Linked DNA regions of Caenorhabditis elegans. The protein of the gene in region 2 interacts with the protein of the main gene of each other region in a pairwise test. Each region holds a gene or a part of one and is shown on either strand. Other genes may lie near its edges. The genes, in order: rab-5 and rep-1.

The links.
Region 1: the proteins of rep-1 (region 2) and rab-5 interact in a two-hybrid assay, tested with the Caenorhabditis elegans proteins (one study listed by BioGRID).

What each region holds. Positions count from the first base shown.
Region 1 is NC_003279.8:9,306,336-9,310,797, reverse strand, and holds rab-5 (small monomeric GTPase), read right to left. Parts: upstream 2,357-4,462; 5' UTR 2,354-2,356; coding exon 2,263-2,353; intron 1,967-2,262; coding exon 1,878-1,966; intron 1,675-1,877; coding exon 1,363-1,674; intron 1,163-1,362; coding exon 1,028-1,162; 3' UTR 577-1,027; downstream 1-576. Other genes in the region: uev-3 (Ubiquitin-conjugating enzyme E2 variant 3), read right to left, coding at 1-44, 409-469; nmat-2 (Nicotinamide/nicotinic acid mononucleotide adenylyltransferase 2), read left to right, coding at 3,979-4,050, 4,098-4,207, 4,252-4,375.
Region 2 is NC_003281.10:1,568,343-1,576,518, reverse strand, and holds the start of rep-1 (Rab proteins geranylgeranyltransferase component A 1), read right to left. Parts: upstream 6,214-8,176; 5' UTR 6,196-6,213; coding exon 6,080-6,195; intron 5,096-6,079; coding exon 5,026-5,095; intron 4,976-5,025; coding exon 4,745-4,975; intron 3,967-4,744; coding exon 3,815-3,966; intron 3,720-3,814; coding exon 3,512-3,719; intron 2,773-3,511; coding exon 2,594-2,772; intron 2,293-2,593; coding exon 2,133-2,292; intron 1,572-2,132; coding exon 1,475-1,571; intron 1,426-1,474; coding exon 1,348-1,425; intron 1,187-1,347; exon of another isoform or gene 1,114-1,186; intron 1,090-1,113; exon of another isoform or gene 1,017-1,089; intron 745-1,016; exon of another isoform or gene 669-744; intron 648-668; exon of another isoform or gene 575-647; intron 439-574; coding exon 311-438; intron 94-310; coding exon 1-93. Other genes in the region: Y67D2.2 (Ubiquitin carboxyl-terminal hydrolase), read right to left, coding at 6,668-6,763. UniProt on the Caenorhabditis elegans protein: Substrate-binding subunit of the Rab geranylgeranyltransferase (GGTase) complex. Binds unprenylated Rab proteins and presents the substrate peptide to the catalytic component B and remains bound to it after the geranylgeranyl transfer reaction.

The DNA.
Region 1 (4,462 bases), on a different chromosome or scaffold from region 2:
ATCTGATGGTATTGCAATTGGACGGGCACGTCGACGTGTTGCAGCTGAAAATTAAAAATTCAAAGTTCCTACTAGAAAGTTTGATTTAAAAAGCTAAAATTGATGACAAAAATTACAGAACTATTTTCTTTGTGTTTTTTCACTACAGGCACGGTACCCGGTCTCGACACGACAAATTATTGTTAAATATAAAAAGGTGCGCGCCTTTAAAGAGTACTGTAGTTTCAAATAATTTTCCATACTTTTTCATTGCTTTTCGAAAAAAAAATCAGATACATATTTAAAAAATGAATGTAAAAATTTAAAAAAATTAAAAAATCTCAGATGATTTTGTATATTTTAAAGTAAATTTATTTAATTTTTAAATTTAACTTTCTTTTGAATTCAATTGATTTGAAAAGCATTTACTTTTTGTGGGCGTTGGTTCTGCTCGAAGAGGCGGTCTACTTGTTCCAGGTTGATCGGACATTTGTATTCTTCAAATAATTCTCACCTTGTTGTTTTTCAGAAAATTGAATTCAATATCTAATATCGATCGTATACGAAGGGTTTTGTGTTACCAAGTATATACATTTTCGAACTTCAATTTATTCGGATAGATTCTGAAAGGATGCTATAAAATTTTGAAAAAAAATTGACAAAAAGGTGGTGAAACTTTGACGAGAAAAGTACTAACAGTGGGATGGTGGGGTTCGGGACTTGGATGTTGATGGTGAGAAGCAATAAATAATTGGAACATTTGAATGAAAAAATGGGAGTTTTCGCATATAAAAAGCAAATGGGCAGAGCCAATTGTGCAAGCTCATTCACTGGCTGAACATTAGTCAGAAATATACAAAAAATGAGAAAATATGGGTTAAAAGAGTGAAAATAAATAAAGAAAGCGAGCACAAAAAACTTGTTCAAAAGTGTTTTTTTTTCGAGGGGAAAACAATGACGACGATCACAGGCGTTGGATTCAAAAGATATATAGAACAAAAGAGGAGCGGAGCTAGAAGGGTTGATGGTACATGAAAAAGTCGTCAATTTATTTACAGCATGAACCCTTTTGTTGCTGTTGTGGTTGGTTCATATCGACAGTTCCCGTTGGTTCACCCTGTGCTGGTCCGATTGGCAACTTTTTAGCTATTGCCATGAAAATATCGTTCACGTTCATTGAGGTCTGTAATTAAATAAATAGAGAATTGATTTTAAATTGGAAATCTTAAATTTCTCATTCATTTTTTAATGGAGATTAGTTCAAAAACTATCTTCGCAGAAAACAAAGTTTATTGTTATTTTTAATAACAATTTTAGTTTTTGATCTATTTCAGTACTCTGTTAACATGTTTTTATTGTCAAAATCCAAATTTTCTAATGTACCTTCGCAGATGTCTCCATGAACAAGAGAGCATTGTCCTCAGCATAAGCATTAGCTTCTTCATACTCAACAGTTCGCTTATTGGCAACATCAGCCTTGTTTCCAGCCAATGCCATCACAATATTTGGAGATGCCTGTCGCTGCAGTTCTTTTACCCAATTTTTCGCTTTTTGGAAAGATTCTTGATTGGTAATATCGTAGACAACAATAGCCGCTTGAGCTCCTCGATAGTACATTGGTGCCAATGAATGATATCTTTCTTGTCCTGCAGTATCCCAGATTTCGAATTTAATTGTTGCATCGTCAAGGCACACCTGAAATTTCGAAAATTCAATTCTTAATTATTAACGTTTTTACGTCTTTCAATATAAAATCCGTGTTTTTCGAGCAAAAATCTCCGCAATTATATTATTAAAAAACAATATATTATTAAAATTCGAGATTTTTCATTTTAGTCAAAATTTTTGTTCAAATTAGGGAAAATTGTTATATTTTCACAAAAAATTCAAAAACTCACAGTTTGAGTGAGGAACGCAGCACCTATAGTCGACTCCTGATACTCGTGAAATTGTCCCTTGACGAATCGCAATACGAGAGATGATTTGCCTGAAATGATAGTTTTCTGTGATGTTTAGGTGAAATAAGAGAGCATATACGTCATATGCTAGCAACTATCAGATGACCCATAATTCTAAACATATAAACAATCAAAAGACGAAGAATTAAACTTCGAAATCAACGCAATTTCGAAATTTTGTGACGGTTTTCAGCAACTGCGAAATATGCTACAGACAGAACGGAGTAGAATAAAAAAATCTTTATTTTTTGGAAAACTGTTCTTGTTTGCTTTTATTTTCTACTCCAACCTTTAGCGGTTTTTTCCATTTTCAGTATCAACTCACCTACAGCACTTTCTCCGAGAAGAACGAGTTTGAACTGGCACGTTCTGTTTGGACCTCCAGGCCGGGCGGTTCCTGCGTTTCGGGCGGCCATTTTCTAAATACAAATTTGTTGAATTTATTACATTAAAAATCGATCGAATAAATTACAAGCAAAAAATAAGCATAATTTCACATAGGAAACGATATGAGGGAGGATTCAGCTGAAAAAATATCAAAATGGTTTCAAAGAGAAATAATGTTGCATTTTTCTTTCCAGAAAGAACAAAAAAAATAATGTTCGACTAAAATTCTATATCTCAATTCTCATTGATAAAACAATTTTGAATCCCTGAAATTTCTAGAAAAATTTCTAAAAATCCTTGTACTTAAAAAGTGGAAAAATTGATTTGAAATGAGCAATTTCCGAAAAAGATTGAAGGCACGCGAGAGACTGAAGAGTGGTAAACAAGCGTATTATTGATTCATACGGGTGTCTCACGAGGAACGAAATTGTGATGAAATCGATAAAGAAATACGGGTTTTGATCACTATTTTCATCAATTCAGTTTGCTTATCTCTGCATATTATTCATCACGTGTAATTTGATTAATTGATAAACTTTTTTCTCAAGTTTTGATGAAGTTTGAGATTAAAATTAGTTTTCTGGAAGCATCCAAAAGTAGTGAACGAATTAAATTGCAGGATATATGAAAATCAATAAAACTAAAAAAAAGAAATATTTGCGCAACAGACATCGATGACACACACGGGCTTCGTCGGGGGTAGCCAATTTGGCTGCGTACCTTCTGGGGTGGTGACGGGCGCAGTTGACTGAGTATTCAATGTTTGTGTGACATCGCAGACAGTTAGACAAAAATGGATGAAAACGGGAGGAGGCTTTTCGGTGCGCGCGCTTTCGAATTTATATTTTTTCGCGCTAGGCCAATTTTACATTTTTGATGAAAATTATTTTTCATTTCGAAAAACTTTTATTTTCCGGTAATTTTTGGCTAAATTTAAAAAAAACGCGCAAAATTAAGCGGAAAAAGTGTGAAATAATAGAGACCCGAAGAACTCGGGGGATGTCCAACTGGGGGGATTACCAACTCGGGGATTGGCCCCGCCTACAGAACCGTGGCTTGCAATACGCCTATTTCTGCAACTGCCGCACGGTTTTAAAACTGTATTTTTCTCAATAGAGCGAGAAATAACAAGAAAAAATAATTTTAAAACCGTGCGGCAGTTGCAGAAATGGGCGTATTGCAAGCCACGGTTCTGTGGGCGGGGCCAATCCCCCGAGTTGGTAATCCCCCCAATTGGACATCCCCCGAGTTCTTCGGGTCTCAAATAATATTCAAGAAAATTCAAAAGAGACTACTGTAGCTGAGTCGTTGCGAGACAACTTTTTTTGTTTGAGCCATGTCCCTTTAAGAGTAAACTGTATTAGAATGTTTTCACATTAAAATTCTCATTTTAAATTTGTTTCATGCTTAATTTTAATATTTCCCAATCATAAAAATTTGTCGATTTTGTGAATAAAAGGTTCAATAAATAAGAAATTTCCTAAACGTATCCTGATTTTCCACCTGACTTGCATTTTTTGACACACTTTTAAAAAAAATTTTTCGTTTCTGATCACTCTCGATATTTTTCATATTTTTTCAAAAACGTTTCGTTCTAAATAGCTCAGAAGAAAACAAAATATTTTTCAGTTTCAATAAATATTGTGATAAAACGATGAAACGAGTCGCTCTTCTTGCCGTCGGGTCGTTCAATCCACCAACAATTGCACATTTACGTATGCTTGAGGTAATCAAATAAAAAAAACATTAAATGTATGATATATGAATTTTCAGGTCGCCAGGTCACATCTCGAAACGATTAATACACAAGTTGTTGAAGGAATAATGAGTCCCGTTGCTGATTCATACAACAATAAACCAACGCTTATAAAATCTAATTTTCGGTAGAAAAAGTTTTTAAGACTTGATAAAAAATGTTCTAATTCAGCATTCAAATGGTTCGAGCCGCCACAAAAAGTTCTGATTGGATACGAGCCGATGACTGGGAATGTACTCGAACCACGTGGACAAGGACAATTGATGTTCTTAGACATCATAGAGAACTTGTTCAGGTTCGCCCTTTTTTTTCTGAAAACTTAAAAAACCGAAAGGGAATTAAAATTGGGAAGTTTCACACACCAAAAAATCGCGAAAATTTT
Region 2 (8,176 bases):
AGTTTCCGGCTCTTCCTCTTCTTCCTCCTCTTTTTTCATGGCTCTTGGCAAAAAGTCGAGCTCGGGCCAAGTTGTGCAGAATAGTTGGCGGCACTGGAAAAAATGGATATATAGCAGGTGTTTAAAATTCAGAAAAATCGATAAAAATTGAATTCAAAAAAATTTTCGAAAAAAAAAATTTTCTGAAAAATTTTTCAAAAAAATTTTTTTTTTTTAATTTTTATATTTTTTCGAAATTTTTTTTTCTAATTTGAATTTCTAATTCAATTTCAGCTCAAAAATCCAATTTTCATCGTTCTTTCGCCCTAACCTCCTCCACCACACTAGCATAGTGTAAATTCGCATCAACTGGCGGCGCGACGACGACATTTTCGGCTCCGGCGGTGTCGAATTTCATGGAATTCGCGGTGAAGCTCATCTTCCAGTAGGGTTCCACTTCTGAAATGCAGAAAAAATATCGATTTTTCTAGGAAAAATCGAAAAACTCAAAAATATTAAAGAAAAACCGGGTTCCAAGCCAATTTTCGCGAATTTTAAGTGAAAAATTCGAAATCTCCGCCCTGAAAAACCTAAATACTCCCACGGGGACTCGAACCCCGGACCTTTTGCTCCGAAGTCAAGCCTGTTAGCCACTGCGCCACCGGTGCGCCGAACCAGCGGCGCGTGATGCAACGCGTGGCGCAGTGGCTAAGCGGCTCGCCTTTGGAGCAAAAGGTCCGGGGTTCGATTCTCCGTGGGGGTGTATAGGTTTTTTATAGCGGAGAATTCGAATTTTTCACTTAAAATTGGGGAAAATTCACTTGGAAATAATTTTTCTCAAAATTTCACTGAATCCTTGCTGAGATTTCAACTCTTGGAGTCTCTATTTTAGAACTTTGAAGCTTAACATATATTAATAGTTCAAAAAAATGGATTTTGTATCATTTTCGAGCGAAAATTTCAGGAAACTAGGTTGTAACTCAATTTTTGCGAATTTTAAGTTAAAAATTCGAAATGTTCGCTATGAAAAACCTATACACCACTGCGGGGACTCGAACCCCGGGACCATTTGCTCCGAAGTCAAGCCTGTTAGCCACTGCGCCACGGGGTGCAACATGCATCACTGGTTAGCTGCAACGCGTGGCGCAGTGGCTAAGCGGCTCGCCTTTGGAGCAAAAGGTCCAGGGTTCGATTCCCCGTGGGGATATATAGGTTTTTTATAGCGGAGAATTCGAATTTTTCACCTAAAATTAGGGAAAATTCACTTGGAAATGACTTTTCCATGAAAGTTTCTCAAATTTTAAGCGAAAAATAGGTTTTCGGTAGTGGAAATTCAAAATTTCCCCCTAAAAATTCCGCGAAAATCACCATTTTTTTCAAAAATCTTCTCTGCAATAGTCTTGACACTTGTTTCTCCTTCTTGGGTACCCGTTGCATGCACCAGAACTGCAAAAAAAAAATCTTTATTTTTCTAGGAAAAAACGTGGGGGCTTACAGTGTCCTTTCGGAGCCGTACAGGCTTCAAAGCCCACTTCAACAAGCCGTGAGACTGCGGCGTCGGGCCGGAGAGATGCCAGATTGAGGAGGGTTAGCTGAAAATTTTTTCGGATTTTTAATACGAAATTCGAAATCCCCGCAAAATTTCACTCTAGAATTATTTTTTCCCAGGCTTCTAGCTCAATTTTGAAATTTTCGGGGTTACTGTAGCGCCAAAAGTACGCGATGCCCCCGTGGTGTTTGCGTACCTGACACCGAATTTTACGAAATTGAACCCAAATTGGCTTAAATTTCAGTTACGGGGTAAATTGGCAACGGGGAATTCGAATTTTGCATTGAAAATCAACTAGGAGCACTGGTTTCTCGAGTAAAATTAAATTTTTCTCGAAAACCAGTTGACCAAGGTGGTTTTCAATGCGAAATTCGAATTTCCCGTTGCCAATTCACCCCGGAACATGATTTTCAGCCAATTTAAGCTCAATTTCGTAAAATTCGGTCTCAGGTACGCAAGCACCGAGGTCAACGTACTTTTGGCGCTACAGTAACCCCAAAAATTGTAACATTGAGCTAGAAGCCCGGGGAAATTGAATTCTAGAGTGGAATTTTGCGGGAAAATCGAATTTCCTGGTGGAAAACTCCAAAAAATGCTCCGGAACCTGTTCTTTCTCGGCTTCTTTAATCGATTTATCCGTCGCATAGACGATTCTCTCGATTTTCAGCGTACTACTAGCTGGAACAGTTTCGGGGACAAATCTCGGGGACATCACGATGTAGCGACAATTTACACGATCTCCATTGGCAATTACAGCCGTAATTCTGGAAATTTTTGAGAAAATTGGTTTTCCGACAAATTGAAAATTTGGGCATAGCTTCCGCATCTCCGAGTGACAAATGTGCTCTATTGTCAAATTGTTGGCAGAAATACGGTATTTATTCACATTTTCAGCACAATTTAAGGCTGAAAATGTGAATAAAAACAGTTTTTATGCCATCAATCTGGGTAGAAACACATGAGTCACGGAATATTGTATAAAACTAGTTTTGCTGGGAATTTGACTTGAAAATTAGGTCAAATTTCGCAGAAACTATTGATTTTTCGCTTATTCTCTTCACTAACTTTCCATCTTTTTTCACGATAGCCTGTACAGGCCGTCCCAGACAATATAAGCTCCCAAAGACTGCTGCCAGCCGGCAAAAGCACTGTGAGAGCTCTCCACATCCGTAGAGTGGGAAGAGGAATGGCGATGGACCGAAATGGCCGACAGAATCCATGAACTGGCATGATGCCAACATTCCCTGGAATTTGGAAAAATTTTAAATTTTGAAAAAAATTTTTTTTTTTTTTTGAAAATTTGTTTTTCTCAAAATTTTTTTCAATTTCAAATTTGACATGAAAATCAACTCGAAATTCGAATTCTCCACATCACCAGCTTCCAAATGACACCCATCATGCCCATGATCCATCGATTTTGAAAATTTTGGGTCCCGCCACGAGGGGTACTGTAGCACCGGTTTCAGCTGTGTCGGAGCGCAAACTGCACGGAAAATGGGCATGATGGGGGTCATTGTAAAGCTGAAAGCGTTAGAGATTTGAATTTTTCAAAAATTTTTAGCAAAATAGACAAAATCAACATTTTTTCGAAAAAAAAAATAATTTTTTGCTCAAATTTTTTTCAATTATAAATTTCTTTTCAAATCGACTCAAAACTCGAATCCTCCACATCATCATCTTTCTAAAGACCCCCATACTGCCCGGGTTCCGATGATTTTGAAAATTCGGGTCTCGCCACGCGGGGTACTGTAGCACCGGTTTCAGCTGTGTCGAGACTGCCAAAACTCAAAATCAACGGACCCCGGGCATGTTGGGGGTCATTTTGAAGCTGAGAGTGGCGAGAATTCAAATTTTTCAATAATATTTTGAAAAAAATTGAAGTAAATTTCGTGCAAAAAAAAAAATTTTGGATTTTTTTTTCATTTTCAATTTTTTTAGAAATTCAGATTTTTTTCTAAAAAACAGTAATTTCCGCATATTCACCGTCATCGCAGTGGGTCTTTGCTGTAAAATGCCGATCGTATTAATAATAAAGCTCTGCAGGGTCTTTCCAACGCCCATTTGCTCCAAAAACTCTGAAAACGGGCGGTCGGCGTGCTCGGCGAGCAGTTTTCTGCCTTCTTCCGTGTCTTTTGTGCTCCATTGTGTGCAGAATGTGATGAATTTCATAAGAGCTCGCTTTTCCAGGATTCTGGAAGAATTTTTGGAGATTTATCATTGCGAATCGATTTTTTTGGCAAAGAAAATCGATATTTTATCGATTTTCAGCCTAAAAAAATCCCTTACGACAAAGCATTGCTCTGAAAAATCTCTCCTTTGCTACATGGCACCGGATTTAGGGTAATTCCGGCTTCTGGGGTCTCTGTTGGGCATAGCTGCCGGTTGACAAGCTTAAACTCGGCATAATGGGATACTTGGGAGTCACAGAGTGTTTGAACCTGAAAAAATTCAAAAAATTGGAAGAAAATCGTTTTTTTTTTCCAAATTTTTTTCAAGATTTTCAAAATTTTCCCATAAATTTTTGTCAAACTTTTCAATATCTGAAAATAATGCGGAAATTCGAATTTTTCGACGCTCTCAGCTTTCGAATGACCCCCAACATGCCCCGGCTCCGTTGATTTTGACTTTTGGAAGTTTTGACACAGCTGAAGCCGGTGCTACAGTAACCCGCGTGGCGAGACCCAAAAAAATCAAATTGCATGGAACCAGGGCATGATGGGGGTCATTTTGAAGCTGGTGATGTGAAGATCTCGGAAAAAATGTTAATTTTTGAATATTCTGAAAATTGACAATTTTTTGGAAAATATTTTTCAATTTTTTTAAATTTTCGATATTTCAGAAAACTAGCAAATAATTCGAATTCTCCACTTTATCAGCTTTCAAATGACCCCCAACATGTCCGTGGTCCGTTGATTTTGAATTTTGGCAGTCTCGACACAGCTGAAATCGATGCTACAGTAACCCGCGTGGCGAGACCCAAAATTTTCAAAGCGGTCGGAACCTGGGCATGTTGGGTGTCATTAGACAGCTGGTGGCGTAGAGAATTCGAATTTCAGAGTTTTAAATGAGGAAATTGAATTTTTAGAAAAATTTTTCTTTTTTTTCAGAAAAAAAGTTTCAAAAAAAATTTTTTTTTTGGCAAAAATTGATTTTTTGATGACTATTAGGGCAAAACATCAAGTTCTCCAATTTAGGTGTAATTTTGCAATTTTGTACCATTGCTCCCTTGGAAAGTAGAATTTTCGGCACTAAATCGATGGAAAATCGCCGCATTTGTGAAGCCTCTTCCAGTTGCGTTTTCATCGGCTTTTCCTCGTCTTTTCCACGTGGAATCCACGTCATTTCAATGTTTTCCACGATTTCTCGATTGCCGAGCTCAATGAGCTGCTCATTTTCAGTCAAAAGCTCTGATAACTTGGAAATCTCCGAGGAATCCAGCTTTTTTACCTGAAAATTCGGAAATTTTGGGGTTTTTCTGGCTGAAAATCAATAAAAACCTGATTTTCAGTCACTTCATGAACCATCGACATTGTGAATGATGACCAATCACCGCCGTAGTACTCATTTCTGCAAAAATATTTTTTATTTCGAATTTTTCAAGAAATCGAGTATGAAATTCGAATTCCAGACGTTATCAGCTTTCAAATGACCCCCAACACGCCTAGGTTCCGTGCATTTTGACAACCGACACAGCTGAAATCGGTGCTACAGTAACCCGCGTGGCGGGACCCAAAATTCTCAAAGTAGGCGGAATATGGGCATGATGGGGGTCATTTGAAAGCTGGTAACGTGAAGATTTCAGAAAGAATTCTGATTTTTTAAATTTCTGAAAATTGAAAAATGTTTTGGCAAATATATATTTTTTTTTCTTAAAATTTGTTTAATTTTCGATATTTCCGAAAACGAACAATTAATCTGATTTCTCAACGTTATTAGCTTTCAAATGAGCCCCAACACGCCTAGGTTCGGTGTATTTTGACAATCGACACAGCTGAAATCGGTGCTACAGTAACCCGTGACGGGACCCAAAAAAATCAAAATCAATGGAATATGGACATGGTGGGGGGTTATTTTAAAGCTAGTGACGTGGAGAACTCGAATATGATATCAGTTGGCTGACATTTTTCGAAAATTGGAAACTTTTGACGTTTTCCGAAAAATTTTCCACAAACTTGGTCAGAAAATTTTTACTTTCTGATTTTTCCCGAAAATTAATGTGATATTTGAATTCATCAGGTTCTCAGCTTCAAAATGACCCCCATCATGCCCAGAATCCGTTTATTTTGGGTCCCGCCGCGAAAAACTACAGTAACCCGAGGAGTTTTCGTGGCGGGACCCGAAAACTTCAAAACCAGCGGAATATAGGCAATTTGGGGATCAAATTGAAGCTGGCGACGTGGAGAATTCGAATTTTGCTGTATTTTTGAGGAAAAGTTATGATTAAAAAAAAAATTTAGCCGAAAATAATTTTTTTTTCGCAAAAATTTTTTTTTTTTCAATTTCATTCATTCATTTTTTTAAACTTTTTTTAAATGTTAGTTCGCCTATTACCTATCTAAATGAAGCACAGATAAGCCAGCTCGAGCACAAGCTGAAGCCAGAATGGCTTCAGGTAGTCCGGTGCCCAGCACCACTACGTCCACTGATTCTGGCAACTTTTCGTCCATTTTTTAGAGCTGGAAAAGCTGGAAATAGTTTGAATTTTTGGAAAATAAGAGATGTCATGCTTAAATTTGAAAAATTGAAAAAAACCAAAAAAAAAAAAAATTTTTTTGAAAATTTTCCAAAAAAAATTTTTTTTTCTATTAAAATATTTGATTTACGGCTGAAAACCTTTAAAAATTAACTAAAAAAAGTGGAAAAAACACGAAAAATCTTCATTTTCACACACACACACAAAACTTAACAAAAATGGCACGGGACGGGGGGAAGAGTTATAATATTTTTTTCAAATTTTCTGAATTTTTGCACAAAAAATAAACTTTAAAGGAAATGCTACACGTTGTGTCATTAAAATGTTAAAATTTACAACAAAAAATAAGGGGAATCTAGCAACAAAATAAATCAATTGTTTGGGAAAAAAATTGCGAAATTTCCAAAAAAAAAATTTTCTCAAAAAAATCAATAAAAATCCAGAAATTACATCCTTTCGTAGAGTCGATGAGGTTTGACACGTTCGTAGAATAGCATATAACTTTGACAGGCTGCCACGTGGGAGTACGGTACACGGGTTACCTGAAAAATTATACAAGTTTTCGGGGGAAAAATGAAAATTTGGGCATAGCTTCCGCATCTCCGAGTGACAAATGTGCTCTATTGTCAAATTGTTGGCAGAAATACGGTATTTATTCACATTTTCGGCCAATTTAAGACTGAAACTGTGAATAAATACAGTTTTTATGCCACCAATACGAGTAGAAGCACATGGGTCACGAGAAAATGTTTAGGAAGGGAATATTTAGGAAATTCTGTGAATTTTAATAATATGTCGTTTTTGTGACAAAGGCTCTTCGTTGACTGGAAATTCAAATTTTCTGAGAAAAATAAATTCGAGAAAATTCTGGAATGTTCCAAAACTTTCTAGAGAAATCGGGAAAATTCTGAAGTGTTCAATTTCGTGGAAAATTTCAGGAACCTGCAAATTTCTAGAACCTTTCGGAAAGTTCAAAAAAAAAAACTTCTTCAAGTTTTGATACTCCTAGAATATTCTGAAGTTTCAATAATTTGAAAAAAAAAGATCAAAATTGTTATAATTTCCAGAAACGCTCGCCAAAAACTCTCGGAAAGGACCGGAAAAAAGTTTTATATGATTTGAAAAACGTTTTTTTTTAGTTGTAAACACTCAGCTATATAATATTTATGTTGCTCGAAAACTTCCGGAAAACAGAAAAAAAACGTTCCATCTACAGAGAAAGGCTTAGAAATTTTAGAATTTGATTTCAATTTTGAGTACGCCAGTCGGAGCACGCGCTTCAGCGCGTTCGAACGGCTGGTATATATATATTAGGTCTCCAAATAAGTTCCGGGTCAAAAATCATAACTTTGTTCGCTGCGTATCGATTTTTATGAAACTTTGGGAATTTACGTTATCAACCATGATCTTTCACTTGACAATAGTCACGAAAGTTTTTGACCACCCCAAGTGTCCTAACGCGGAGCCAATTTTTTCAGGCATTTTTCTGATCTCGCTTCTTTTCAGTTTTCAATTGAGCTTTGTGTGCGGATTTTGCTTTGTTTAGATTATTAGAAAACAACAGAAGTTTGGAAAAAAATCCGCCCAAAAAAAAATTTTTTTGGTTGGTCGTCAAAAAATGTTCAAAATAATTTTTGTCGAAAATTCTAGATTTTTCCTACAAAAATGATGTAACCAAGTGTAAACTATTTTTCGACATACAAAACATATCAACTTAGTTCGATACACTAAAATGATAGTAGAAAATACAATTTTTTCGGATAATTTTTTAGTTTTTTGAATATTTCTTGAGATTCAAATTTTTAACTCAAATGATTTATATGTGTAAAAATAGTTTACACTTGGTTACATCATTTTTGTAGGAAAAATCAAGAATTTTCGACAAAAAAAAATTTTTTGGGCGGATTTTTTTCCAAACTTTTGTTGTTTTCTAATAATGTATTCTAAACAAAGCA